Elephas maximus indicus: one gene and its partner. The protein of the gene in region 1 binds, or shares a complex with, the protein of each later gene. Links are inferred from orthologs where the notes say so. Each region holds a gene or a part of one and is shown in the gene's direction. Other genes may lie near its edges.

What was found.
Region 2: the proteins of GHRHR (region 1) and GHRH are in contact, whole or in part, in a cryo-EM structure (PDB 7CZ5), measured with the Homo sapiens proteins. The link is inferred for Elephas maximus indicus from reciprocal best matches to the Homo sapiens genes GHRHR and GHRH. Residues at the interface, in NP_000814.2 of Homo sapiens: Leu119, Ala120, Glu122, Glu123, Phe126, Ser127, Val129, Lys130, Tyr133, Val179, Lys182, Leu186, Phe187, Asp190, Thr192, Asp193, His194, Cys195, Phe197, His210, Thr213, Phe217, Ala271, Cys272, Asp274, Leu275, Asp276, Trp282, Ile285, Ile289; in NP_066567.1 of Homo sapiens: Tyr32, Ala33, Asp34, Ala35, Ile36, Phe37, Thr38, Asn39, Ser40, Tyr41, Arg42, Val44, Leu45, Gly46, Gln47, Leu48, Ser49, Ala50, Leu53.

What each region holds. Positions count from the first base shown.
Region 1 is NC_064826.1:92,363,793-92,373,255, forward strand, and holds the start of GHRHR (growth hormone-releasing hormone receptor), read left to right. Parts: upstream 1-5,608; coding exon 5,609-5,665; intron 5,666-9,334; coding exon 9,335-9,437; intron 9,438-9,463.
Region 2 is NC_064843.1:32,291,676-32,301,117, forward strand, and holds the start of GHRH (somatoliberin), read left to right. Parts: upstream 1-4,983; 5' UTR 4,984-5,119; intron 5,120-6,991; exon of another isoform or gene 6,992-7,035; intron 7,036-7,164; exon of another isoform or gene 7,165-7,371; intron 7,372-8,333; exon of another isoform or gene 8,334-8,457; intron 8,458-9,442. UniProt on the Homo sapiens protein: GRF is released by the hypothalamus and acts on the adenohypophyse to stimulate the secretion of growth hormone.

The sequences.
Region 1 (9,463 bases):
GGCTGGCAGGCAGGGCTGTCTCAGAGGAGCTGCTATCCCAGCCCTCAAGGAGCGCACCCGCTTGTGGTGAAGATAGACTGGACACCAATATCTCCGGTACCTGCTGGGTAATAGGGAAAAACCTTAGCAGCAGCCACTGTGGTATTCTAAATTTAATTTTAATTGTACCAGGAGTGTATAAATGAATTTTTCTTAAAAATTAGAATATTAGTGTTAAAGCTAATGTTCTATTTGATCATTCCCCATATCCCATCATCTGTCTCTTCCTCTTTTCCCAATTTTTATGATTTTGATGTGGAACTTCCAGACTTAAAGAAATACTTCTGCATACACACATATAGATTAAAAAAAAAAAATCTGCAATTTGCTTTTGTCTACTAAAATACATATGCTATAAAATCACCTTTATTGAGGAATCATTTGCATGTAATAAAGTTAATGTATCCAGTTAGATAAATTTCTGCATGCTTGGTTGCTAAAAGCTGCTTGGTTAGAAGTTCAAGTCCACCCAGATTCACCTTGGAAGAAAGACCTGGGGATCTATTTCTAAAAAATTAAAAAAAAGAATTAGCCCTTGAAAACCTTATCGAGGACAGTTCTACTCTGACACACATGGGACCACCAGGGGTCAGAGTTGGCTCTATAGCAACCGGCTTGGCAGAGGAGTGTAAGCACCAAGGTCTTCATACAGAATATTCCTGTCACCCCCCAGAAGTTCTCCCCTGCTCCTTCGCAGTCAATTCACAACCCTCACCCTGGGGATCTGCTTTCTTTTGCCACAGTTTTACCTTTCTTAAAATTTCATATAAATGGAATCGTACGGTATAGAGGTTTTTTTTAGTCTGACTTCCTTCACTTAGCATAATGCTTTTGACATTCATCCATGTTGTATGCATCAGTAATAGCTCCTTGTATGAGGAACCCTGGTAGCGCAGTGATTAAGCACTCGGCTGCTAATTGAAAGGCTGGCCATTGGAACTCACCAGACGCTCTGCAGGAGAAAGATGTGGCAGTCTGCTTCTGTAAAGATGACAGCCTTGGAAACCCTGTGGGGCAGTGCTCTGTCCTATAGTGTCGCTATGAGTCGGGATCGATTAGATGGCAATGCATGTATTCCATTTTGTGCATAGGCTGTGATTTTTCTTCCCCTTCATCAGCAACGAACATTTGAAGTGTTAAGAATGAAGTTCTGTGAACATTTGGGTACAAGCTTTTGTGTGAACAAATATCTTTCATTCCATCAACCTTTATTAATTGGAATTCTTCTGTAAGGAAGAGTTGTCCCTTCTCCTTTGTCCCTATTTATTCAATCATTTAACTTGTCTTTTGAGTAGCCTCTAGGTGGGTTCGAACACCAACTTTTCGGCTAGTAGTAGAATGCTTAACTATTTGCATCACCCAGGGGACACCATAGTAACAGTTACTGCAATGTTTGTTGCAAATATTTCTGTCAGTCCGTAGCTTGTTTTAGTTCTTATCTATGTGTTCTTTCTTGCTCATACATTCTTTTAATGTTGCCATGGAGCAATGATTAAGCATTTGGCTGCTAACCAAAAGGTCGGCAGTTCGAATCCACCAGCTTCTCCTTGGAAACCCTATGGGGCAGTTCTGCTTTGCCCTATAGGGTCACTATGAGAGTTGACTCAACAGCAATGGTTTTTTATGGTCAAACTTATTAATCTTCCCTTTTGGTTATTTACTTTTTATACAAATTTCATCTATTCTAAGATCATAAAAATAAATTTATAGTCTTGACATAACCTATTATTTTTTTGTTTTGTAGTTAGGATTTTAAACTTTCTAGAATTGATGTTTTGTAAATGTGAGCTATAAAGCTAACCTTAATTTTTTCCATACAAAGAATCTGTTGTTCCAGCCTTATTTGTCGCTAGTCTGTCCTTGTTGCACAATCCCATTAATAGTCGTCCGTGTGACCTAGGACCTGTGCAAGGTGCTTTATATGCCTTTCCTTGTCTACATATGCCATCAGCTCCACAAGAAAGGTGCTAGTATTACCCTCATTTTTTTATAATAGACTTTTTAAAGAGCAGTGTTAGGTTTACAGAAAAATTGTGCAGAAAGTACAGAAGTTCCCATATGCCCTCTCCCCCTTGCACAGCCTCTCCTATTACTAACATCTTGCATTAGTGCAGGGCATTTGGTACAATTGTTGAGCCAATATCAACACGTTATTACTAAATAAAGTCCATGGTTTACGTTAGGGTTCACTCTTTGTGTTCTACAGACCTATGGGTCTTGACAAATGTATAATGTCATGTGTCCACCGTTACAGTATCATGGTTTCACTGCCCTCCAAATGCCCTGTGCTTCACCTATTCATCTCTCCCTGCTCTCACTGAGCTTCTGCCAACCACCGATCTTCTCACTATTGCTATAATTTTGCTGTTTCCACAGTATTCTATAGTTGAAGTCATGCTCACCTGCATTTTTCAAATGGGGAAGCTGAGACTCAAAAAGGTTAAGTAACTTGCCCAAGGTCACATAGCTAGTAAGTCACGGAGGCAGAATTTGAACCCAGAGTACATAGAGAGAGCTAGAGATGGGAGTCCCGCAACTCTTGGCTATTCCAATAGAAAATGGGTTTGGGGAGAGAGCTAGGGAACACCTGCACTTAGATCTGGATTTCTCAACCTTGCCACCGTTTGTGTTTTGGACCAGATAGTTCTGTGTGTGTGTGTGTTTGTGTGTGTGTGGCAAGGAGACCACCCTATACATTGTCGGATGTTTAGCAGCATCCGTCACCTCTACGCACTACATACCAGTAGAACTTGCCACTCTCCTCACCCTACCCACTCCCAGCCTTGACAATGAAAAATGTCTCTAGACATTGTTAAATGTCCCCTGGGGGGCAAAATTATCCCCATTTAAAAACCTTAGACAACTCTATTATTCAGTGTAACTATCAATATCAGCTATTAATCATCATTAATGCTAATGGTACAAATTATCAGTGGTGATTTATGTAATATGTATCTTTGGGTTGTTGTTGCCTCTTCGGAGCTGAGGGTCAGAAGGTTCTACCCTTCCCTTTAAGTTACATCTTCTCAGCCTTCTGCGCTTCCAGTCTGTGGGGCCTCCCTCTGCCTGCCAGTGGAGGGGCTCTGCCTCGTCCTGAAAACATGCCAAGCCTGCACTGTGTTCACAGCAGGTACGTGGAAACGCTGGGGCAAGGGTAGGAGAGTCAGGGGCTGGAGGGTGGCTCTTCTCAAAATATTTGCTTTTAACACTTCTTTGGCAATGAATAAAAATAGAGAACAAAAGCCCTGCTGTTGTAAAAAGATACCTAGATCCAGATGTGGCGGGGGCGAAGCATCCTGCATCATTTATGATGCGAGTCAGGCTGTAAACATGTCGCTGTCACGAGCAACGAGTCCCGCCACCTGTGAGTAAAGACCTGCACACAAACATCGGGTCTTCTCAGGCACGGGGTTGTTCAGTGCCCTCAAAGATACAATCTTCTTTCAAATTCCAAAAATGTTTGCAAGACCCAGGGTAATTTAGAGTGCTGTCTTCAGCCTGGCCGGTTGGGATCCTGCATTTTAAAGTCTAAAACTCTGATAAAAATGGTCAGGCATTAGAGAGAAATGAAGTCCCGATACATGCTACAATATTAGTGAACCTTGAAAACATTATGCTGAGTGATGAAAATCTATCACAAAAGGATAAATATCATATGACCTCATTTATATGAAATATCTAGAACAGGCACATGTATAGAGACCAAAGTTTATTAGTGGTTACGGGGTGGGAGGGGTCCCTGAGTGGTGCAAAAGATTTGCACTCATCTGATGGTGAAAACAGCTACACGCTTGACTACTAGCCCAAAGGCTGGTGGTTTGAACCCACCCAGAAGTGCCAAGGAAGTCAGGCCTGGCACTCTGCTTCTGCAAGGTCACAGCCTTGAAAATCCTATGGAGCGGTCCTACTCTGCACACATGAGGTTGCCATGAGTCAACAACAAAAACAAAAACAACCAGTGTAAAGGTTGGTGACTCGAATCTACCCAGTGGCACTGTGGAAGAAAAGACTGGCCGTCTGCTTCTGTAGAGACTACAGCCAAGAAAATCCAAGGGAGCCGTTCTATTCTGTATCACATGGGGTGGCCATGGGTTGGTTTTTAATGGGAGGTGCAGGAGGGAGGGGGAAGGGGAGTCATTGTTTAGGAAGCAGTGAGTTTCTGGTTATCGTGAAATGTGGCAATGGATATTGGTGATAGTTGCACATTACTAACATAATTAGTGTCAGTAAATTGTATATACGAAAAATCTTGAATTGGCAAATGTTGTGTTATACATATCTTTACAAAAAAAAAAAAAAGAGAGACCAGGCAATGAAGGCTCAAAATGATTCTAGTGGCTGTACAAGCCCTCCCATTCCTGCACTGGAGGACCCCCATTCAGCCTGGCCTAGCTCCATGAGGGACCCCTAAAGGCTCAACTCTCCCTGCTACCACAAGGATTTCTGGGAGACAGGTAGACAAGCCTTTTCATGGTGATGTGAGTTCTAGAGCCTTGATATTTCCAGACTTTACCCCACCATCCAGGCTGGCATCCTAGCGAGGGAAAGAAATGGGGTCCTGCCGCTCTTACTCTTCTTGGCCAGCCCATGCCGGAGGTACGGATCACCTCCTTTTCTCAGCTTATTCTTCCCCTCTGGCCCCCGCTGTCTCTCCCCCAGCTCCTACGTCTTCTGGGTCCCCACAGCTCTGAGCTCTCTCCAGGGCTGAGGCTGGGATCACCAACCAACCTGGAGGCGCCCCGAAGGCAGGCCCAGGTCTCCTTCCTCTTCTCTGAGGCCCTTTCATTTTTTAGGGGGGTGGTCTCTCCACTGTGTGAGGTCATCAGTGGGTCAGTGGTAGAATTCTTGCTTTCCATGTAGGAGACTGGAGTTTGATTCCTGGCCAATTCACCTTATGTGCAGCCACCACCCATCTGTTATTGGAGGCTTACATGTTGCTATGACACTGAACAAATTTCAGTGGAGCTTCCAGAGTAACACAGACAAGGAAGAAAGGCCTGGAGGTCTAGTTCCAAAAATAAGCCAATAAAAATTCTATAAATCGTAACAATTGGATCCGAAACCAATCATGAGCTTAATGCAGGACTGGGCAACATTTTTTTCCCTTGCACATGGGGTCACCATGAGTTGGGGGCCAACTCAGCGGCAACCAATAACAACTCCACTGTGTAGACCAACAGAGAATTGGGCTCAGACAGAAAATGGTTAAGAGTATTGGCTAACCGGGTCAGGGAAGGTAATTGTGGATGTCACCTCTCTGGGTCTTTGTCATTAGGACAAACACACAGGCAGACTTGCAGATGATGTGGAAGGGGTGGAGGGCTCAGCCTCTCCCTGCTGGGGATACCTTGTTCCAGCCTCAGGGCCAGGGCTGAGTTGGACAAGATGCCCTGCAGCCCTGGTGAATATTCAGCTGGTTCTGTCCCCTTTGCTGGCTCCTGCCTATGCAAACAGCCACCTGGGAAGGGGGGCAGAGGTGGTGGCAGCAGCTGAAGCAGCAGAGGATAGAAGGTGGGAGAGGAAAGAAGGCAGAGGCTCCCCAGGCTGACGGAGCCACGCTAAGCCCACTATGGACAGGCGGCTGTGGGGTGCTTCCATCCTCTGCTTGCTGAACCTCTTACCGACCGTGAGTACCTGGCTCAGACCCTCCTGCCTCTCCCACTGGGCTCCTGATCTTGGAGCCCAACGGCCAGATGGGGGCCCAGCTGGAGTCTGCCGAGACTCCACTGCCCACACCCAGCACGGGGGTCCCTACCATGCAGGTGCGGGCCCTGGCTTGGAGAACTCCTGACACAGGGGCTCCGTCCTTCCCTTGTCCAGGCAGCCTATGCTACCTTGGGAAGCCCGGGCCATCACACCCAAGGTATGCCTCAGAACTGGGGAGACAAAGTCAGCACCAACTCCTTACATCCCAAGCTACCTGTTCCTCTCAGCTTCCAGTTGCCCTTGAGTTGAATCTAACTCATGGTGACCCTATACGTGTCGGAGTAGACCTGTGTGCCATAGGGTTTTCCAGGCTGATTTTTTTTGCAAGTAGTTCGCCAGGCCTTTCTTCCAGGGCACTTCTGGGTGCACTCGAGCCTTCAACCTTTCAGTTAGCAGCAGAGTGTGTTACAAGTTTATACCACCCAGGGCCTCCTCTCAGCTATGCATCCCCACTTCTTATACGCACTCCTCCTCTGATAAGGTTTTCAGGTCCCTCTGTCTCCCCATGACTCCTTGAACTGTGCTCCAGCTCTGATGTTTCCCTCTAGGAGTGCGTGGCCAGAGCTGGCCCCAGGACTGAGTAGGGCCTGAGTAGTATTTGGAGAACCAACTGCTCCCCTCTGGCATTCTCACAAAATGGAACCCTGGTGGCGCAGTGGTTAAAGTGCTTGGCTACTAACCAAAAGGTTGGCAGTTTGAACCCACCAGGTGCTCTGCGGGAGAAAGATGCGGCAGTCTGCTTCTGTAAAGATTACAGGATTACAGCCTTGGAAACCTTATGGGGCAGTTCTACTCTGTCCTTCAGAGTCACTACGAGTCAGAATCACCTCCATGGCAGTGGGTTTGGTTTGGTTTTGGGTTTTCCTCTCACAATATGCCTTGGAGAAGTGTTTGGTGCCAAATATTGCTCTGAGGCCTAGAACGCTGGAGAATAGGCAGCAGGACAGAGGGGCCCCTCTGTACGTCCTGCAATTATCCTGCGTATTTTCCAGGATGTTCCACCATGTGACAGCAGGGACCAGGAGGGTAGCCACAACGTACTGGGTGGGGCAGCCCCAGCTCCCAGGAGCTCCTCAGAGCCACATGGACTGGGACCTCCTTTTCCCCTGTTGCCTCAGTTCCCCTGGCTTGTTGGGGGGGAGGTGCCACCCCCAGCACCCTTGCTGCACCTGATGCCAGAGACACAGGCCTCGGCTTGAACCCTGGCCCCATCAAACTAGCTGTGTGACCCCGGGTAAATTCCACCCTTCCTGAGCCTAACTTGCTGCTTTTGTAAAGAATGAAAGTGCTACCTACTTGCAGGGTTGTTGTGCCTTCGGTGAAAGCTGGTTTGTCAAGGGCTAGGCATAGGGTGCCATGCATGGAGCTTCCATGCCCTCTTCATCTGGGCTGAGGGCAGCCTCATTCCTCTTACCTGTGCGAGCCCCACACTGAAAGCTTTACCTTTGGAGGGGGAACCGAGGCCCTCTGGTGGTCATTCAGCAGCCAAGGCTGGCGTCTCCCAGGGAAGGCTCCACTCTCCATAGGCGAGGCCAGTGTTGAGGAAGATGGAGTGGGCCTTTGGGATAGAGTGGGATTCAGTATGTGAGATGGGGTGAACTGAGACAGCCTTTGGGTCGCCTTCCCAGTCCCCTTCCCCCGACAGTCACTGCTTTTTAGCTGGCCCTGAGTCCCCACATCCGGGTGATTAGTTGGGCTTCCCAGTATTTTCCTGCTTCCCTGAGGAAGTGTGGGGGCCAGGGCTGGACTACCCAATAAGCAAGGTATGCACGGGCCCAATTGTGCCTTCCCACCAATCTGCAGTGCACAATTTCACCTGTGAAATTCCTCACCACAAATTAGCAAGTAAATACAGTTAAGTGCTTGTGTACCTTGCTCAATGCAAGCTGGTGTATATTGTGCTTACCTGGCTAATTTGCCTGGTGGGGGCTGCCATTCCTTCTTCTTGGTTGGAAGCTGCCCATCAATACCCTAGTCCCTCTGGCCTCAGTGGCTCCCCACACAGGCTCTGATATGTTCCCAGAAGGACTGGGGCTCCCAGATTGGTGACAAAGGAAGGACAGGCAGAGACTACGGCTCTCTAAACACCCCAGGGTTACAACTAGGCTGCTGGATAAGAACATCTCAATGAGGCTTGCCTGCCTCCAAACCTTCCTGCATTCCTGTGCTTAGTATGTTCTGGGCAGATGAGACCGGGCCGCATACAGGCCTGGGGTCACTGAGTCTTGAAGGGAAACCGAGAGCAGTTTGGGCATCCACCAAAATGGAGACACAGAGCCTGGACGGTCGGCGACATCTGCAGCCTAAGGCCCCACAGGACTACACAGGAGATGGCAGAACTATTGAGCAGTTGAGCCCAAACTGGGTTTTGGAAAGTGGGATCAGCAGATCGGGGACTGGAGTGGCCCCCTCTCCAGTGACAGGGCTGGTAGGGGTGGCCCCACTTGCTGGGTTGGGCCTCTTCCTCATCTCCTAGCCCACAGCTCTGTAGCAAGGTCCTTGGATTCCTCCTGGGTGGTCACTCACTGTCCACCGTCCCAACTCTGGTTTCAGCCCCTGTCTCACACCCCCTGCACTCTTCATGATACCTGTATTTCAAACCAGACTGTCATTGTTAGTTGCTGTCAAGTTCGCTCCAACTCATGGCAATCCCATGTAAAAGAGAATGAAATGTTTCATGATCCTGCTTCATCCTCATGATCGTTGGTATGTTTGAGTCCATTATTGTGGCCACTGTGTATTTGGAGTGTCTTCCACCCTAGGGGGCTCATCTGTTGTAATCCTTAGGGTCTTCACGGGCAAAATTTCAGAAGTAGATCACCAGGCCTTTCTTCCTAGTCTGTCTTAGTCTGGAAGCTCTGCTGAGACCTGTCCAACATGGATGACCTTGCAGACTACTGGGCACTGCAGTTGTTGCTGTAGTAAGAGGAGAGCCCCAGAGAATTTTGAAGTGGTGCACATAACATATTCAATACATTTATTAATCTTCCTAAGTTTCTATTCACTTATCATCTGTCTGTCTATCTGTCTATCCATCCATCCATCCATCCACCCACCCACCCACCCATCCACCCGCCCACCCATCCACCCAGCCATCCATCCATCCACCCACCCATCCATCCATCCACCCATCCACCCGCCCACCCATCCACCCGCCCACCCATCCACCCAGCCATCCATCCACCCACCCATCCATCCATCCACCCACCCACCCACCCATCCATCCATCCACCCAGCCATCCACCCAGCCATCCATCCATCCACCCACCCACCCACCCACCCATCCATCCATCCAGCCATCCACCCACCCATCCATCCACCCAGCCATCCATCCATCCACCCACCCATCCATCCATCCATCCATCCATCCAGCCATCCATCCATCCACCCACACCCATCATCCATCCACCCAGCTATCCATACATACATTTACCCAAATATTCATCCAATACATCTTATATGTCCTGTGAGCCAGGCCATGTGATTAGGATTAGGGGCACAGAAATTCTCTGTGCTCAGGTTATTTGGGCCAGTGGACCTTAAAGGAGCGTCTGATGGGCTCGCCTCATCCCGTAACTCTTTCCTGCAGGCACTGGGTCTTGTGCACCCAGAATGTGACTTCCTCATGCAGTTGAGAGAGGATGAGCATGTGTGTCTTCAAGCAGCAGAGAGGATGCCCAACACCACCCTGGGTATGGGGCTTGGGAGGGAAGTGGGG
Region 2 (9,442 bases), on another chromosome or scaffold:
TCTCAAGGAGCCCTGGTGGTACAATGGTTAAGCACTTGACTGCTAACTGAAAGGTCAGCTACCAATGGTTCCTTAGAAGGAATGACCTGTCGATCTCCCGTAAAGATTAGAGCCTAGGAAACCCTGTCAGGGCAGTCCTACTCTGTCCTATAGGGTTGCTATTCTGACGGCACACAACAACAACAATGACCTTCCCAAACACTGATTTTTCTGGAAAGAGATGAACTTCTGAATTGCCATCTTATCGGAGATCCTCTTGCCTGATAGTTGACAAATGTTTTACAGACGCCATGACTATTGTGAGATAAAGGGAAAAGACTCCATCAGCCCCATTTTTTAGAAGAGGAAACTGAGGCTCAAAGAAGTCAAGCGACTTTGCCTGAGCCTACCCATCAAGGCCACGACACTCAAACCCTGGTCCCCTCTCTCAGACATAGCACTCATGTGACATCTGCTGCTGAGGACTCCATAGAAACAAACCTAGAAGAGAGTAGGGGTCAAGGGAATCTGGGAGTCCAGAGTCCAGGCTTCCCCCTTCCCTGCGCGGTAGTCTCGGGCTGGGAACACTGCCATAATCCAGGGAGGGTGATGAAGGCAGCTTTTACAAAGCAGGGTCTGAGGCCCTCAGACAGGCCCCTTTTGTGGACTTCCTCTCCCCTCCCCACCCCAACCCCCCCTTCAGCATCTTTGAATGTCTGGCTGGAACACACTGGAAATTTGCAACACAAATGCACGGCTTGTATCCTTCTCAGCTGAGTCTCTCCGCCCCAGCTCTTTGGGGCCTCTTAAAGCCTGCCATTCTCTCGGGTGCTTTCTTTCCACAGCTCAAGCCCCTGGCTCCTAGATGCAGCCACGATCGCTAATTAACGCCGGGTTAAAACGCATCCTGGGAAAGAGAGCCGGGTGTGGAACTAGGCCTTCTCACTGGCTCTCAGAGGACAAGGAAGATGCAGGCGGTGGGATTTGCTGGAGGGGGTTGGGCTCTCATATGGGGCACACTGGCTCTTCTTGGCTTCCTGCCTTCATCCTCTTCCTCCATGGGTTTGAGAATCTACTGCAAATACAGCTTGTCATCTAAACAGCTCACAGCTCTTCCCCGCCACTACCCCAGCCAGCATCCAGGGTTCAGCTCTGATAATAAGAATTATAACAACAGCTACCCTTGGCCAAGAACCTATGTATCAGGCACTTGACAAGCATATCTCTGATCCTTACAACAACCCGGGGAGGTAGGTATTACCACACTGTTAATAAGAAGGGAAATGGAGGCTCCAAATCAATAGACTCCTCTGAGTACATAGGAAATTTAACAGAGGTCACTGACCCATGTGGAATGCACCCTGACCACTAACAAGGAGACAGGCTGATCATAAAATCCCAGACCCCCTCTGTGCAAAGAATTTAACTTCACTGAAGATTAAACTAGTCTTTGCCCTTGTTTTCTGAAAAGACAATTTTAAACCTTTGGAGTTTCCTGAGTAATTGAGATACCTCAGCTAGGTCACAAAGTCCACCTGGCAATCTCAGGAAGGAAAGAAAGCTTGATTGAATTTATGGTAAAGTTAGACAACAGTTAATATTCTACCTTGTGTTTACTTTCTTTCCCTAAAACTCATTGTAACAGGCCTAAGAAGAAACCTCGGCTTCTCTGAACAGGTTTTCCCCATATGCATACCAATTAACTGCCCAAATAAACCTTATGTTTTCATTTCTTTGTGCTTTGATTATTTTTACAACCTCCATTGTACAGATGAGATAACCGAGGCTCATAAAGATCAAGCACGTTGCCCAGAATCACACTGCTTGTAAATGGGTTTCAAATCCAAATCCATTTGCCACCTAAGCCTTTGCTCCTTTTTCAGGCCCAGCTGCTTCTCTCCCCTCCTGTCTGATGCCCTCCCAGCTTTGCGTGACTTCTCCCTTCTCTCAGGTCTCGGAGCATGTATGGTGTGTCTTCCTTTGGCTCTACCGGCTGGGATCGTTGCCCAGCTTCCTGTCTGCCTGCCTCCAGAAGCTCTCTGAAGACAAGAACTGTGTCCACACGCTGTGCTTTCCTCCCAGCAGGGGGGAAAGGCCTGCCCCACTCTCCTAAAAGGCAGAGAAGGAACCAGGTCTTTCAGTGACAGTGAATCCCGTGAACTCCATTTGGACCTTGTTAGGTGCTTAATAAGTGTTTGTAGGATGAGGAAATAAATGCTTCTTTAAGAGCTCACGAATTGCTGGGGAGCCTCCTCCATCACTGCTGGTGGGAATGTAAATGGTACGGCCTCTTTGGGAAATAGTTTAAAAAGGTAAATGTACACCTACCATAAAACTGAAAAACCAGCTGCCGTTGAGTTGATTCCATCTTGTGGTGACCCCATGTGTGTCAGAGTAGAACTGCGCTCCATAGGGTTTCAACGGCTGATTTTTTAGAAGCAGATCAAGTCTTTCTTCCGACGTACCTCTGGGTGGATTCAAACAGCCAAACTTTCAGTTAGCAGCCAAATGTGTTAACCATTTATACCACCCAGGATTTTCATTAAAAAAACATTGCCGCCAAGTCGATTTCCACTCGTACTGACCCTATACGACAGGGTAGAACTGCCCCCATAGGGTTTCCAAGGAGTGGCACGTAGATTCGAACTGCTGACCTTTTGGTTAATAGCCAAGCTCTTAACCACTGTGCCACCAGGATTTTCATATGAGCCAGCAATTCTACTCCCAGGTACCTACCCAAAAGCAGTGAAAACATACATTCACACAAAGTCTTGTACACAAATGTTCGTAGCAGCATTATTCGTAATGGTCCAAAGCTGGAATCAATCTAAATGCCCATTAACAGGTGAAAGGATAAACAAACTGTGATACATCCATATAATAAAATATTACCCAGCAATAAAAAGGAACAAGCTAGAGAAACACGGAATAACATGGATGAATCTCGAAAGTATTATGCTGAGTGAAAAAAGTCTGACACCAAAGAACAAATGTTGTATGCTTCCATTTATATGAACTTTCAGAAAACTGATCTGTGCTTGCCTGGGGCTTGAGTTGGGAATAGGAATTGATAGTAAAACAGGATTGTGGTGATGGTTACATAACTGTATAAATTTATGAAAACTCATTTAATTGTAGGCTTAAAAGAGGTGAGTTTTGTGGTATGTGAATTACTCTTCAATAAAACTGATAAAATTCTTGACAAAAAAGAAAGGTGGGACCAAGGAAGGGTCTTAGGAGAACATCATCTTGGCATGGGGCACTGAATTTGGGAGTCAGAAAACTTTTGTTTGAGTCCTGGCTCTACTACTGATCAGCTCTGTGACTGTGGGTGAGTGTGCAGCATCTCTGTGCCTCTGTTTCCTCATTTGTAACAACAATAGCAATGGCAATAGCTCGTTTGTGAGGCTTACCCTATGCCAGGCCTGTGCTCTGTGCACTGGCACATTTAATCCTCACCCAACAGCCTCATGACTTGAGCTCTATCACTCCCATTTTACGTAAGACAAAGAAACCAATATCAGGCATGAATTCCTTAGTGCAGTGTCTGGCACAAATCATCCACTGGGGTTGAATCCTGATCCCTATGGCTTCTCCAGCCAACGCCATGTGTCCTGCACCTGCGCTGTGGCTCAGCATCCAGTTCTACGCGGTTCCCAGTGTGCATTTTCTGGGGTAACCTCTCATCCTCTTGTCTGCGCAATGACCCATTGCCCTTGGGGTTCCCAACTACTCCATCTGCCACCTGCTGCTGTGTTCCATCAGCCCACTCTGAATCTCTGGATGTGGCCTAATTTGGCCACTTCATGTCGATGCCAGCAGGCTGACATGCTACTCAGTCCCTGCTTTTCTGGGGAGCATTTGATGTGTGTTCTCTGCCAAGAGCATCACTCTGCACAGGCTAAGCAGCAGAAATCACAAAATATCATTGCTAGATGGGCCCTTGGAAACTTCTGGTAGTTTCAGTAGTTTCATTGTCCCGGGGGCAAGCAAAGGGGGTCTGTGCTCCCCCTTCTTCAACCAGCACAGCCACATTTTTCATCTGTTTTGTATACTGCACTTCCACAGAAGATTTCTGAGGAAAAAGTTATGCCAGTTCTTAAAAAAAGTTTGGAAGCTGCTGCTCTGAGCCAACTCTTGAGTTCCCAGGTAAAGAAACTGAGGCCTGGAGGGGTGAAGTCACTTGCTGAGGGTTACAGAAGTCGTGAAGGACAGGCCCGGGGCGGGGAGGCAGCCAGTGTCTGGACTCATGGTTTGGAGCTCTTTCCACGCCTCCACAACAACTGAATGGTAAATCAGCGCATCTGCCTTGCCACTCCTTTATGTCATTCTTTGAAGATTCCTCAGCTACAGGCTAGAGATGTCTGGAAACACAACTCTCCTAAGGCTTCTCATCTCTTTCCTTTCACTTCAAGCGTCTCTGAGGCAAGAGCCGATGCTGGGTTGTTTGATGTATCATGATACATACCTCGGGCTAGCTGCCTAAACCAGCCTGTGACTGCAGCAGGAACAAATGAAATGGAGGAAAATCTTGATAATTGGATGACAAGGGAGACAGCAATCAACTTTCCTCACTAAGGAGAGAAAAACACTAAGGGGAGAAAATCTCGATAATTGGATGACAAGGGAGATAGCAATAAACTTTCCTCACTAAGGAGAGAAAAACACTTATTGGTAAAGTTTCCCACCCTAAAGTGAAATAAAGTTACACCCGGACAACACAAAACTATATGAAAAATTTAACAGGCACGTTTGTCTCAGAGAAGAGATGAATCCTTGGTGTTTCATTGTTGTAAGTACTCCAATTATTAGAGCAGCACTATTATACTCTCTACTCCTCCCAGAATAATAGTACAACTTTGTACTCTGTTCACCCTCCTCAAAGATAAAGGGGAAGCTCAGTACACATCTAATTTGCAAGGGGCAAAACCTCTTTCCCCTATTAGGGTTTTGTCAGTGTGATGCTAAAATTGGTCCTTCGGTTGACTTGTAGGTAATTGATTCTCTGACGCTGACAAAGCTTGGGAAAATGAAGGTATAAATGATGGGAGTGCCATGCAGCTGCCGGAGCAAACGCTGAGCTCAAGCCTGTGGGACTGGAGCAGTGCCTCATAGCAGAGGGAGACCTGCCACATCAGAGGTGAGAGAGGGTGGCCCTGGGGGCTAGGCTGGTTGGGGGCAAGAAAAGTTGATGTTCTCACCAACTCAGAAAAGCCAACTCAAAGAGGCCCTCCGCACCATCCTCTTTGACCACGGACTGGTGAGTGCATTTGGGCCCCTCTCTAGATAAAATAACCCCTTGTCCGGGGCTCTGGCACATGCTTTCAATGGTTGGTGCCATTTTGAAGTCATCTTGGATGCTGTGGCGCCTTAACCCATGGAGAAGCAGCAGGTGAGCATGTTCCAAGCAACTGTTGGAGGTAAGGGAGGTATCAATGCACCTTCAGGGGTGTACAGGCAGGCTTTGGGGGCTAGATTCTCTTGTTAATGGCAAGGTTCTTCCAAGGATCTGAGAGGAAACAAGTGGACGTGCAAATCAATACTGCTCATCAATCACTCAGAACCGATTCAACATAATTGCCTGGAAATTAATAACATATTGCTTTCTTGGAAACCCTGATGGCGTAGTGGTTAAGAGCTATGGCTGCTAACCGAGAGGTCAGCAGTTTGGATCCACCAGGTGCTCCTTGGAAACTGTATGGGACAGTTTGACTCTGTCCTATAGGGTTGCAATGAGCCGGAATCGCCTTGATGGCAACAGTTTTTTTTTTTTTTTTTTTGGTTTTTCACTTTCTTGTTCACTTGCAGCCGTGTTCCCTACTCTAGGTTTTAGACAAAATTTTCCACCCTGGGTGCTCTCCATTACGCGACTCTTGTCTCTTGACCTTTACTGTAATGGTTCTTATGTATTCCTGTCTTTCACCATAAGCAGCCTCAAATCCTTTCTGAAAGATGGTAGGTGCCACTCCTGAATGACAATTAAGATGCTTCCTCATTGAGCACTTACATTTCCTTCAACTTGGAACATTCTTGGTGAAACAGTTAAACTGGATCAGGATTTCATTGTTTTTTGTTGTTGGTTGCTGTCAAGTAGATTCCGACTCACAGTGACCCTGTGTGACAAAGTAGAACTGCCCCATTGGGTTTTCTAGTCTGTAATCTTTACTGGAGCAGATCTCCAGGTCTTTCTCCCATGGAGCTGCTGGGTGGGTTCGAACCACCAACCTTTCAGTTAGCAGCTGATAGCTGAAAAGTTGGGCCACCAGGACTCCTTGCTCCTTGTCATTGTCTTATAGTCACCAGGGCCCCTCAGGTCATGGCTTTAGAAGTCTCGAATTACAAAGCAGAATATTTAGGAAAGGTGGAACATTTTTTCCTAGGTGTTCAAAAGTGGTCTTACTTGTTTTGACACTTGAGACCTAACCTCTGTCTTTAGCAGAAGTCCACATCTGCAGAATTCTCAGTGCGTTCTTGGCAGGAAGGCTAGCAGAGGGTGCCAACTAATGTCGACCAATTGCCCATTCATCCTGTAGCCAGACAACCTCAAATGCATCTAATCACAGAATTGGTTTGGAAGCACTGCAGAAAGCAAAATGATATTCATAATGAGAGATAATAAACCCTAAAATGCCTTTGGAGTCTTCAACGGGTCCTCAGGAATGATGTTGAGTTTGTGTTACACATAAGTCAGTGAATTTCAGCTTCTTGGAATGGCCCTGTGTAAACTGTCTGCCAACAGCTGTTTTATCCTTTGTTGCCCAAATTCTTATCCTAACTCTAGTCTTAAACTGGACAATTCTGGTTGTTTCCCATCTTTGTCGGTGGAGTTTTGCAACCCCATGCACTGTGTTCTCATAGCCCGGTGGTTGCAAGAGTGCCTTCACCCATGCCAAGTGTAGTGCCACTTGGTTACCCAGAATGATGTAATAAACCTCATTTTGAGTGAGCAGGGTGTTACAGCATTTACTATTACTTGCTCCCCAAATTCTGCCCTCTTATGAGGTATTTTCAACTCCTTGAAACCACTGTGAGCTTAGGGAGACACCATTCAAGCAGGTGCCCCTGTTTGCTCCCTTTTTTTCTTCCCCTGAGTCCGGATGACAAAGGGTGAAAGCTTTCTGTTTCTTTGGCACTGTTTCCCACATGCAGGTGATGAATTCTGAAGTGTCCCATGAATAGGGAGTACCGTGAATAGGGTAGTGTATCTGGGGGGCCGCGGCGTGGAGCAGGAGGAAGGCCACTGGCCTGGGAATTGGAAGGCCCGTTCTGAAGAGCCCACTCCGAAACTAATTGGATGGAGGGCCATGGAAAAAGGCCCTTCTCCTCCCTGGACTCGTTTCCTTGGCTATAAAATGGGAATCGTGATACCTGCTCCAGAGGATGGGAGTGCGGGTAGGCTGGGCAGACCCGGGGGGGGGGGCACAGGGACTGGGAACCAACTGGGCTGGCCCTATGGAGAAGGGGCAGGAGGTGAGGAGGCAGAGGGGAAGCTTAGGCGGAGAAGAGGGACTTGGGCTTTGCTCTAGAGGGAGTGGAGAGCCAAGGGGCTTCTAGAAGGAGAATGAGGTGACTGGGTGCCTGGATGTGCCCAAACCTTGCAAAGATCGGCAGTAAAGAAGGCAAGAAAGCGTAGGCTGCAGCTGGGTGACTGGAGAAGCAATGGTTCTGGAGCTCTTGGTTAATGGGCTCTCCTTGCCCCCAAAGATCTCCCTGCTTAGCCAATCCCACTGTCAGAGGTGCAGCTTGGGACAGTTGGGAAAAGAAAGCCAGACATGATGTGGTAAGTTAAGAAGGACAGACTGAAGGTCCTTGGCCTGAGGAGCAAAACTTCTCTAAAGGGCTCCTTATGTGGATGAAGGTGGATACTAAAGGGCAGCCCTTGGGGGCAGACACCATGCTCTAGTCTTTTCTCTAGCTCCCATCCTTACTGGAATAGCGGAGGCAGAGCCCTGGTGGTGCAATTGTTAAGCACTTGACTGCTAACCGAAAGGTCGGCAGATCAAACCCACCAGGCGCTCTGCAGGAGAAAAGACCTGGCAACCTGCTCCCATAAAGATTACAGCCTAAGAAACCCTATGGGACAGTTATACTCTGCCATATAGGGCACTATGAATCGGAATAGACTGGAGGGCACACAACAACAACGAGGGTAAGGGGATTCGGGCTTGATACAAGGTGAGAAAGACTTCCTAACAATAAGAACTGCCTGGAAAGAGGACTGGCTTGGGGGTAGTGAGCCCCTGGTCACTCACTGGCAGCAAGTGTAGAGCAGGAACTGGAGGGCTGCCTGTGTGTATGGGGGGACACATGTGGAAGGGGCTGATGACTGAGCCCTAGGCGGCTTCTTCCTCCAGCTCTGGAGGTGCAGGGGCCTCATACCTCAGTGAGCCGCCCATGGTGGGTGCCCTCTCTGGAACCCCAGTGTCTGGAGTGAGGTGGATGATTCCTTGACAGCACAGGTGAACACAGAAGTGGAAGGTAGGTTCTTCCAGTGCAGGCCCAGTCTACCGGACCCCACGTCTCAGCAGGCCCAGGGAGGAGGAGGAAAGGGAGCCATGTTGGATGATCATGGGAAAGGAGGCTTCGGGATGGATCTGCATCCCCTTGAAGACTATCTCCTGCTGAGCCAGGGGGGACCTAGGGAAGGCCCAGTTCCTGGTTGGCTTAAGTCACCCCGGGCCAGCCTTTCCCATATTGGGACAGGTCTGGGTTGGCAGCCCTGGCATCCTCCCAGGTGAGGCGGGCTCTTTCCCTGCTGACTGCTTCCGCTAATTGCAGAGCACAGTGTCAACAGGCCCCAACTAAGTGCAATTACAAGATCTAAGAAATTATTCAGCCATACTGGCTCCCCAGGCGCTGGGGTCTTCTCCAGGGCTCAGACTCCTCAGTGGAATCTAAGCTTCTGGAGTAGGATTTACAACCAACCATCCTTCCTTCCCTCCAACTCCACGCAAAATAAACACAGGATAAGCCTGACCTCAGAGGGGGTCTAACATTAGGCAATCATTTTTTTCATCCTTCCTTCCCTCCAACTCCACGCAAAATAAACACAGGATAAGCCTGACCTCAGAGGGGGCCTAACATTAGGCAATCGCCAAAAACCCACCCAGTGCCATCGAGTTGATTCTGACTCATAGTGACCCTATAGGACAGAGTAAAACTGCCCCATAGAGTTTCCAAGGAGCTCCTGGAGGATTCGAACTGTCCATCCTCTGGTTAGCAGCCATAGCCACCAGGGTTTCCAGCAATGGCCTATTGAGACGTCCCTCTGTGCCAGGCACTTGCTACTTCCTTCACGCACCTCATCACGTCTAATCCCCACAAAGATTCTGTGTGGGAGGAAGTATGGCTACTGTCTCCATTTAAAGATGGGGAAACTGAGGCACCAAAAGGAGAAGCCATTTGTCCTGTCACACACAGCTGGTGAAGGCAGAGCCTGGATTTGAACTCGGAGTTGTCTGAC